3 linked regions of the Macaca mulatta genome follow. The main gene of each other region encodes a partner of the protein of the gene in region 3 in a complex. Links are inferred from orthologs where the notes say so. Each region holds a gene or a part of one and is shown on either strand. Other genes may lie near its edges.

The links. Proteins that work in one complex are often made in the same cells at the same time.
Region 1: PRPF4 (region 3) and LSM6 share a complex: the UniProt entries of both Homo sapiens proteins name them as parts of the precatalytic spliceosome. The link is inferred for Macaca mulatta from reciprocal best matches to the Homo sapiens genes PRPF4 and LSM6.
Region 2: the proteins of PRPF4 (region 3) and PPIH are in contact, whole or in part, in a crystal structure (PDB 1MZW), measured with the Homo sapiens proteins. The link is inferred for Macaca mulatta from reciprocal best matches to the Homo sapiens genes PRPF4 and PPIH. Residues at the interface, in NP_004688.2 of Homo sapiens: Arg113, Gly116, Glu117, Pro118, Ile119, Thr120, Leu121, Phe122, Gly123, Glu124; in NP_006338.1 of Homo sapiens: Phe14, Arg26, Phe46, Cys47, Thr48, Gly49, Pro57, Ile58, Gly59, Tyr60, Lys61, Gln173, Cys174, Gly175, Glu176, Met177.

Annotation. Positions count from the first base shown.
Region 1 is NC_133410.1:154,735,082-154,737,729, reverse strand, and holds part of LSM6 (U6 snRNA-associated Sm-like protein LSm6), read right to left. Parts: intron 604-2,648; coding exon 490-603; intron 1-489. UniProt on the Homo sapiens protein: Plays a role in pre-mRNA splicing as component of the U4/U6-U5 tri-snRNP complex that is involved in spliceosome assembly, and as component of the precatalytic spliceosome (spliceosome B complex).
Region 2 is NC_133406.1:198,092,908-198,096,561, forward strand, and holds part of PPIH (peptidyl-prolyl cis-trans isomerase H), read right to left. Parts: intron 3,478-3,654; coding exon 3,385-3,477; intron 2,338-3,384; coding exon 2,250-2,337; intron 1,772-2,249; coding exon 1,731-1,771; intron 982-1,730; coding exon 913-981; 3' UTR 896-912; intron 1-895. UniProt on the Homo sapiens protein: PPIase that catalyzes the cis-trans isomerization of proline imidic peptide bonds in oligopeptides and may therefore assist protein folding. Participates in pre-mRNA splicing.
Region 3 is NC_133420.1:45,037,250-45,041,003, forward strand, and holds the start of PRPF4 (U4/U6 small nuclear ribonucleoprotein Prp4), read right to left. Parts: upstream 2,176-3,754; 5' UTR 2,123-2,175; coding exon 2,096-2,122; intron 1,329-2,095; coding exon 1,151-1,328; intron 1-1,150. UniProt on the Homo sapiens protein: Plays a role in pre-mRNA splicing as component of the U4/U6-U5 tri-snRNP complex that is involved in spliceosome assembly, and as component of the precatalytic spliceosome (spliceosome B complex).

The DNA of each region.
Region 1 (2,648 bases), on a different chromosome or scaffold from region 3:
TTAAAAAACTGAGTAACTTTATTTTTTCTATTTTGCCATTTTTGCCAAATCAAAGGATGCAAATCTGCACAGAAAGCATCTGAATGTTTAATAGAGAAGGGACAAATAGGACAAACTGCCAAATTATGCAAATTAAAGACAGCAGGGAAATGGTACCCATTCTTACAGCTGCAACTTCCAGGCTACAAGAAGCAGGAATATGTGTTGGGGAGATAATAATACACTATATTCAAGAGAGCAGGGTTCCGGGTCAGGAGAACAATGCCCCCAGTTCCTCATCACTAAAGGAAGGGAAGGAGGGAATTTTAGTTTAAAAATTCCATGATGTATCTAAAAAAATAACTGGTCAAACTGACATATAAGCATTTTAAAATAATCAAGCCTAAAACTGGACTTTTAAATTATCTAGTAAACTCTTTGGTGATCTGGATTATAAACAGAAAGGCTTATTTTGAATGAATGCTGTACTGTAGGGTGAAGAAATGTTACCATTGTTTCCTCGGATAAATGCATCCCCATACTTATTCTTCAGTTGTCCATTTACATATTCTTCTGTCTGCTCCAGGGCTATATTCATGTAGCCATCCAAGCAAGCCAGGACCCCTGTAGACATATTTAGTCAAAAAGAAGAAATACAAGGCAAGTAGGAGTTGAAAATTACAGGGTATACCTTAGAGCAGACGATCTCTTTATTCATTAGCTCTTAGATACTTAATAAAAAAATTCATACCCTAAATGAAACTCAACAGCTTAAGCACAAAACAACTCTAGGCCAATCTGAATGAAGACTAGGAAGGCAGTCACGCACCCACTACTACCCAGTAAAACAACAAACTGTCACTTCCCTCACGGTATGTATGACCACATAGCAACTTTTAAAGCATTCAAAAAAGTAAGAGAATAAGACTAATCCAACAAAAATACCATTCTGTGAAAGCTAAGCACAAGGTGGGCAATTATGCATGAACAAATGATCCTTGGTTCCAGTGGCATTTCCTACTTCAGCCACTAAGTGAAATACGGGTCTGGCAGATTTATTTCATCCTTTTACAACATCTATTGCAGCAGATGAATGTACTCCAGGGTTAAAAGGAAGTCTCCACAATCTGTTAAAATAATAGAAGAGGAGACAGCAGGTGCTCCCGAAAGAACATCTTAAAGCTGTGACTCACAGTGAAGAGCAGCTTGAGAATATAGGGCAACATATTGCATTATAACACATCTTGTTCTGTTTTGTTACAGCTATAATATTTTCCAATCAAAACTAATAGAGAAAATGGCCAAAAACATTTGAGGGAGCTTTCAAGGAAACAGTTTGAGTGAATCTTTAATTGTGTTAAGATGGTATAAATTTTGTAAAATTTGACCTAATGATCTTTTTCAGAAGATGAAAATCTGCAAGCCTCTAACTCTGTCTCTAATTTAAAGTGGTATTTTCTAGAAAAAAAAAATTTAAGTAAAAACAAATACTAGATTCAATTAGTCGAGTCTATAAGTTTCTCATTTGATGTCTTAACTTCATTAATATGCTCCTCACTCTCTGCCTCTGCCCCCATTATCCTCTAAACAAAAAAGTTTCCTTTCAAAATTGTGTGTGTAATGACAGCATAAGACATTAATCTACCAGAATTCTGCTAAAGGCGGTAAACTCTCAAAGAACCAGAATGGACTGTGAATAATAAAATTATTTCCTAGCCAAAGAAAGCTTAAGCTATAACTTTAGCTCATTTCCTGCTGTATTATTTTACATATAAGCCACAATTATAAATGAGCAAGAAACTTCTGAGGCACAATATGCAAACCTGTTCGAAAACTAATGAAAAGAATTTCAAAATGAAATGTCCAGGCTGGGCACAGTGGCTCACGCCTGTAATCCCAGTACTTTGGGACACAGAGGCAGGCAGATCACTTGAGGTCAGGAGTTCAAGATCAGCCTGGCTAACATGGCGAAACCCCGTCTCTACTAAAAATACAAACATTAGTCGGGCGTGGTGGCGGGTGCCTGTAACACTAGCCACTCAGGAGGCTGAGGCAGAAGAATCATTTGAACTTGGGAGGCAGAGGCTGCAGTGAGCCAAGACTGAGCCACTGTACTCCAGCCTGGGTGACAGAGTGAGACTTGGTCTCAAAAAAAAAAAAGAAAAAAAAAAAGTTCACTTCTAATTAAAGTATCTGTTCTCACAGCAAAGGCAAAAAACAAAAAACAAACAAACAAAAAAAAACTGCCCAGGGGGTTAGAAATATAACCGTTTCCTTCTCCATGAGATAACCTACTATACATAACCAAAACAAGACATTTTCTTACACAGAAACTGCTACAGAGAGTTGGAGGTTTTTCTTGTATGTTGTGTTTTGTTTTGGGTTTTTTTTTTTTTTTTGGTGTTTTGTAAACCACAAAATAAGCACGTTCTTTTAGTAACGCTATCTAATAGTATAGAACATTTTGTTTTAATCGTATAAAGGTCACAAACAGACATTCATAAGAGGAAAAAAAATTATGGTTACTATCCATGTGAAAGACTGCTGAATCTCACTAGTAAACAAATAAAATATATGTAGAATGAGATATTACTTGTTGCCGATTAGATTGGAAAAGATGAAAAAAAGCTAATACAAGAGTTGGTGAGAACATGAAGGATAAACCCAGG
Region 2 (3,654 bases), on a different chromosome or scaffold from region 3:
GAGGGAGGAGGAGAGGCAATGGAAATGGATGAGGAGGCAAGAAGGGAAAGAAAAAAACCAATGTCAAGGCAAAGAAATAAAACAAGAATGTTAATCACTGGTGAATCTAAGTGAAGATATATGGGTGGTCAAGGTATTCTTCTAACTTTTTTGCAGGTTTGAAATTAAAAAAAAGAAAAACATTACTATCCCTCACCTCGGATTTCCCCCTTGTACTCTTCTCACACTTGGCAGTGTCACTCATATTACTAGTGATGACCTCTGAGAATGTCTTACTTCCCATGAGCTCCTGAAAGGAGACACCTTTCAATTCTTTGCCCCGCTCTCTGCAGCGAGCATGCTGCCCAGCGCAGAGCAGGCAGTGGCAAATACGGGTAAGAAATGAGTCCATGTAGGCTGGAAGATGCAAGGCATTCACCTGTGAGGCCGGCAAATACGAAGTCAAGGCCTGGAATTGCAGTATCAGTTCTGATGAGGTGCATGACAGGCGTGTCTCCTGGCTGCTTGGCCTGGTCCCAGCAGAGAGTTACTCAGGCCTGGAGCCAGGTCTTTCTAGGGGGACTACTGAATGGAACTGTAGTCTGAAAGTGCTGTTACAAACTGCCTGAGTAGTTTTCAGATTGATACTTTGTACATTACAAAGTGATAGAAAAGTACAGTGCTCCTACAACCCTTTCTCTTTTGATTTTTACAGTGACTCTGAGAGATAGGTATTACAGTATTTCCATTTGACAGATGAGGACACATGCTCAGAGAAGGAAAGTGACCACTCCAAGGTCACACACAGAGGAACTGGGCTCAATCTCATGTCTTCAAGACTAAAGATCTTTCCACTAGACCATGCTGTCTTCTTTGAGGTCTGACTCCTAACCTAATAGCAGAAAGACACACTTACCTGATTCAGTCTTTGGACTACATCTCCCCACACTGTGAGATCACCACAGGCAGCTTGGGCTTATTGTTGGGGCCTGTGGGAACATTCTAGGAAAAAAAGCACAATGGACATTCATCCACTCAGGCACTTCCTCATTCCCTTATCAAACTTTTACTGATGCCTGCCAGCCCCTGTGCTAAGGACTCAGCACTCAGAAACTGTCCATGTCCTGGCAGACAGGTATCAAAGAGAAAATGCAAAACACTTAGAAAACATCAAACCTATGATAATATAACAAAAAGTTATGAGAGAGTTGGATAAGGGGTAGACGGGTAACTAAATTGCTGCTTAAAGAGGTCAGGGAAGGATTCACAAAAGAGGATTATTTGAACTGTGCCTAGAAGGATGAATGGGATTCCACCAGGAGGGAAGGAAAGAAGAGCATTCCAGCTACAGGAAACAGTGTGAACAAAGGCTCAGGAGCAGGAAAGAGCAAGGGGCAGAGATGTGTATGGCAGATTTAGGGAAGAGCTAGTAGCCTGATGTGACTGGAACATGAAAGAGGCAGTGGCAGGAGAAGGGGCCATGGAGAAGTAGACAGGGACTAATCATGAAGGACCTTGAATGCAATGCTGAGGAGTAGAATTTTATCAAGTAGGCAACAGGGTCGTCAGGGGCCAAACCTCAGTGCTGACCAGACAGGCTAACTTAGGTGGTCTCTCCTCCCTTTTCCTGAAGCAATGAAGACTGGGCCTAACAAACTGGAGCTCATTCCCCCTTCTCTAGCTCCTGGACGCTAGTCAGACAGTACCAGACCAGAATGGGAGAGAAAGAGAAAAATCAAAGCAGTACTTACCTCAATCTTTCTCATCACTAGAAGTCCATCGATGATTTTTCCTGTAGGAAGAGTGTGAGCTGGACTTTATTCTTGTTTACATAGCGTTTTCCAGCTTCCAAAGCCCATTCTTAGCTATTATGTCATTAGATTCTGTTACTAACTTTAGGAAATTAAGATGCAGTAGAGGTGAAATGACTTGCTCAAGGTCATAGGTAATAAGTAGAGTTAGGGCTCACACTTATATCTGAGTGACTGCAAAGTCTCACCATATCATGCTGCCTGTATGGCATTTCTTTGGTGCTAGCTACTGGGTTTTCCCCTGAGTGGTTCCATACTATATCAAATGGCCCTTTTGTCCTTCCCTCTAGTTCTCTAGCCAAACATGTTCCCCACCTCCCCACCATTTCTGTTTTCTCTGTTACCACCTAAGCAGTTATCCAAGTTGAGCATTCTTGGTAAGAGTCTGAGAACTAACTCCTCTGGAGGTTCCATCCGCGGTGAATGGGGCCTGGACCATGGGACATGAGTAGGACTTACCAAACACCACATGCTTCCCATCCAGCCAATCGCACTTAGAGCAGGTGATAAAGAACTGACAGCCATTTGTACTCGGACCACTATTTGCCTGATGGAAACCAAATATACCTGCAGTAAGTTTCCTTGGCCATGTTACCTGATGGGTAAGATTCCCAAAAGAGCTTGTAACCCTAATCCCTCCATGTTTTTTTCAGTAAATCTAACTTAGCACCTATTATGAGCCAGGGCCTAAGCTAGGATCCAAGGATACAGAGATGAACAGGATATGGCTCACTGCAGACTCAAATTCCTGGGCTCAAGCAATCCTCCCACCTCAGCCTCCCTAGTAGGTGGGACTCCAGGTGTGTGTCACCATACCTGGCTAATTTTTTTTTTCTTTTTTTAGTAGAGACTTAAGTTTCACTATGTTACCCATACTGGTTTCAAACTCCTGTCCTCAACCTCAAGCAATCCTCTTGCCTTGGCCTCCCAAAGTGCTGGGATTACAGGTGTGAGCCACCAGGCCCAGCTATGAATATGTCTTGAAAGCACAGCTTTTTACATTCTGAGCAGTAGGGCTGAATGCCTAGACACAAACCCTGGTTCATATTTTAGTTCCCCAGCCTGCTAGCCTGCTAGAGGGTCTTACCTACTGGTTTTCTTTTCTTTCTTTTCTTTTTTTTAAGACGGAGTTTCGCTCTTGTTGCCCAGGCTGGAGTGCAGTGGCACGATCTTGGCTCACTGCAATCTCCCCTTCTTGGGTTCAAGCGATTCTCCTACCTCAGCCTCCCAAGTAGCTGGGATTACAGGCACCCACCACCACACCTGGCTAATTTTTTGTATTTTTAGTAGAGATGGGTTTCACCATGTTGGCCAGGCTGGTCTCGAACTCCTGACCTCGGGTTATCCACCCGCCTCAGCCTCCCAAAGTGCTAGGATTACAGACGTGATACAGGCTCACACCTGTAATCCACCATGTACCTACTGGTTTTCTCAATCAAACCAGACTGAGAAAAGAGGTGGTAAAGGTGAGTCCTGGGGCAAGCAAGAGAAAGAAAGCATTTGCTTTCATCATGCCAAAACACAGCATTGGGCCTCAAGAGGGGCCCAGAAACCAGCTGGCTGTAACGCAAAACCTTGATTGGACCTCACTTACCATGGAAAGCAGGCCTGGGGCTGAGTGTCTAAGTTTAAAATTTTCATCTGCAAATGGCCCCCGGTAAATACTGGCAACTCCAGTACCATCTCCCTGAGCAGACAGAAGGGAAATATTAGTGACTTGGAGTGTTGGGTCCCTGGAAACCAGAGGAAGAACACTGTTGCACCTAAAGCCTGACATCTTTAAAGTCTACTCTTACTCTTGTTGGTCATCTTGGAAGCTGCACCTATTTGACCCCACCCTGCCATCAGAGCAAGCCTTATACAA
Region 3 (3,754 bases):
GGAATACAGGCACGCGTCACCATGCCCGGCTAATTTTCTACTTTTTTGTAGAGATGGGGTATCACTATTTGCCCAGGCTGGTCTTGAATTCCTGGGCTCAAGCCGGACTCCCACTTCGCAGCCTCCCAAAGTGCTGGGATTACAGGTTTCAGCCACCAGGCTTGGCCACTATTACTTTTATAATAAAACAAGATATCTCAGCCAGGTGCAGTGGCTCACGCCCGTAATCCCAGCACTTTGGGAGGCCGAAGTGGGCAGATCATTTGAGGTCAGGAGTTGGAGACCAGCCTGCGCAACATGGTGAAACCCCGTCTCTACTAAAAATACAACAATTAGCTGGGTGTGGTAGCCGGCACCTGTAATCTCAGCTAATCGTGAAGCTGAGGCAGGAGAATCACTTGAACACAAAAGGCAGAGGTTGCAGTGAGCCACGGTTATGCCACTGCATTCCAGCCTGGGCAAGAGAGTGAGACCCTGTGTCAAAAAAAAAAAAAAAAAAAAAAAAGATATTTCCCTTTGGGTAAAAAATAATTGGAAAACTTCAAAAGGGAGATTATCACGAACCACTCTAGCTGCAAACCAATGCCAGAACTATGTTAGATCTCCAGAAGACAAATGGAATCAATCTGAATCCAAATGTACACTGAATTTTTGATAAGACTGCTCACTCGTAGAAGCAAAACTATGTAACACATTGTAAGAAAAAGGCTCTCTGCATGATTTTAAGGGGGTAGGCAAAATACAGCCTTATAGATGCAAGTTTAAGAATTGAAATTCTGCCAGGCGCAGTGGCTCACGCTTGTAATCCCAGCACTTTGGGAGGACGAGGGGGAGGGATCACAAGGTCAGGAGTTTGACCAACATGATGAAACCCCGTCTCTACTAAAAATACAAAAATTAGTTGGGCTTGTTGGTGTGCGCCTGTTATCCCGGCTACTCCGGAGGCTGAAGGAGAACTGCCTGAACCCAGGAGGCGGGGGTTGCAGTGAGCAGACATCGCGCCACTGCACTCCAGCCTGGTGACAGAGCGAGACTCCGTCTAAAACAAAAGAACTTAAATTTTTTGACATTATAAAACTGATGATATTCAAGTTTAGGAAAGTATTCATTACACAAAGAGGTAAAGATGGGTTCACAATTTGCATCTTACCAGAGGTTATATTAATATTTCCAGCTTCGATCCCTGCTTTAAGTCCTTCTTTCCCCAAAATCCCAGACTCTCCTTTGGCCAGACGCTCCCTCTCCTTCTCTTCCAAACTTCCATAATAGATGTGTGGTTTCTTCACAACCGGAGCAACTAAGTCATCGGGTGTTTTAGTTTTGGTTGCCTGCCAAATCAAAAATCTGGATTAAATTGAGGTTTAATCTTGGCAATTTACCGGATTTCCCGAGGATGAAGCTCGCCCTGAGTTTCACAGTCCTATTTCCTTCATAATTGAAAGGACAAATTGGACACTACTTAAGATGTTCTTCATCGATTTGAGGTGAAGGGGAGGGTGTTTCAGTCCCTCACTTTAGCTGACGGGATTGATAAAACTAGTGAGGTTCTCTCGAGTATTTTCATATGAAAGGTTTGCTCTGGAATCTGTTTACTTTATTCTGCTGGAAACGTGGAATCTCGTGTTTTACGATGTATCCAAGATTACTGCTCATCACTGGGGAAATATTAAGGATAGATGAAATAACCAACGCGGTGCTAAAGGATAACAAGTTACAACATTACGAGTGTATACATTTCAAACGTTTCTAGACGTGAGGTAGAAGTTAGTAGGTCTCATTAAAATTTTGAGATCTGCCAAACGCATAAACCTTGGCCAAGACACTTCCCTATTTCAGAGCACCGTTACTGGATGAGTCGGAAGAGATGTTTGCCCTTTGGGGCTGTAGTGGGAGAGGTGCAAATAAGCTACAGTCCACGAAAGCGCTTAGGGGTCAGGAAAACGGTGGTCCGCTGTGTAGAAGACCACTGAGTCCCGCAGCCTTCCTCCTCAGCCCTCCACCGCCTTCTCTCGCTCCCTAACGGCCCCTTCCCGCAGAGATCCTCTTCCCCCTCCGCGCTCCCTGCCAGAGTGAGTTGCGATCCCGGGCTCTGTACCGTGGAGGAGGTTCGCGAGGAAGCCATGCTGGGCTCTGGAGCCGCGAGGCCCCAGCGAAATCCAAGCTCTCCGTTTCAGACCTTCCACCGCGCGCCCAGCAGAGCGGAAGTGCGTCACTGACCGGAAGTGTGTCGCAAACAGGACATGGGCCAAGAGCCGTCGCTGCGCCCGGAGCGGCGCGGAGCATGATGGAAGTCGTAGTAGGAAATGGCGTCGTGGCATTGAGGGGCATCCCTCCTAGAACCTCCAAGAAAAGCTCGCGGAAGACGAGGTTCTGCTGAGAGAGAGGCTCCAAGCCGTCTGGGAAGTGTAGTCCAGTTGGCGTAGCAGTAGTTTCGTGGAGGGGAGCCGAGGTTCCGGGAAGGGGCTGAGCCGACTTGAAAAGAGGTAGGTAAGTCGACTCGCGCGGCTCGGGGCTGAACTCTGGAGCGAGTCGAGGGCTTCCGGGGCCCGCTGTGCCTCCCCGGGCCTACGGGGGCGTTTACGTCTTCTGGGAGCCGAGGACCGTGTTACCATAGAAACCCTGGGATCCGAGGTACAGGCCTGGAGCTAGGGGACGAGGACTGTTCTCTTCCATGGTCCGGAAGTCTTCCCAGGGGCCACCTATGAGCTTGATGGCTCGGCGGTGGATTTGGGCTGCAGCGAGAGATTAAGCTAGAAGAGCCCGCTGGTGCCAAAGTCAAATAAAGACCCGGCGGAGGAGCTTCGGCCTGATTTTGTTCATTTGTCTTCAGCCTGGTCTTTGTATCAGATTGAGAGTAAGATGATGGTTAGGAGGGTGTCAGGGAACTGTACGTCTCTCTGCCCTGCTGGATGCTGGGGTATTAGAGACGAACAGCATAAGGTTTTTATCTCCACGTGGACGGTGGGAGATCCTCAAAATATTGACGTTTCCGTAGCTGGCCAGATCCTCATCCAACCCCCTAGAAAAATTACAGCCATAATAGGTGTTATTTATTGAACATTTATTAAATGCCAAGTAATGTTCCAAGAGCTTACTCTGCATTACGTTATTCACTTCCTACAACAGCAAAGTAGGATACAGATGAGGAAACTAAGGCCTAGTTAGAAATGAAACTAATTGTTCAAGATCAGTGGCGCAGTGGGATTAGAACCTGTGCCCTTTAACCTCTACAGCCAGCACTTTTAACTGCTACTCTATACTGCTCCGTAGTGGCCAGTTTTTCGCAGTTTGCAGAAAAGGTAAAATGTATAGTAGACCTTTTTTTTCCTTTTAGGTATCCCTATCCCTCTCTTTCCCTCTTTGGAACTTTGGCTTTCTCTACCATTTGTCTGCATTGGAATCTGGTAGAAGATAATGCCTGATTTAGTACAAAGCAATTTGAAATGTAATGTGCCAGTGTTTTGTGTTGATAATATCGCCTGTAATATCCTAAGCTTCATGGGAGAAGGAAATATTTCTTCCTTTGTATACTTCACAGTCCCTAGTTTCATCCTAGATACATGTAATAATTTGTATCTCTATATACTTTCAAGGAGTTTTCACTTCCATCATTCTCACTTAATCCTTATCATGTTGACCTGTATAATTTTTATAGGAGGCTAAAATTATTAACCAAACTGAACAGCTTGCTTCGATGACTTCTTTATGTGTGAAATAGGAATCATTTTGTCAACTTCACAGGTTTTTGTGTTAA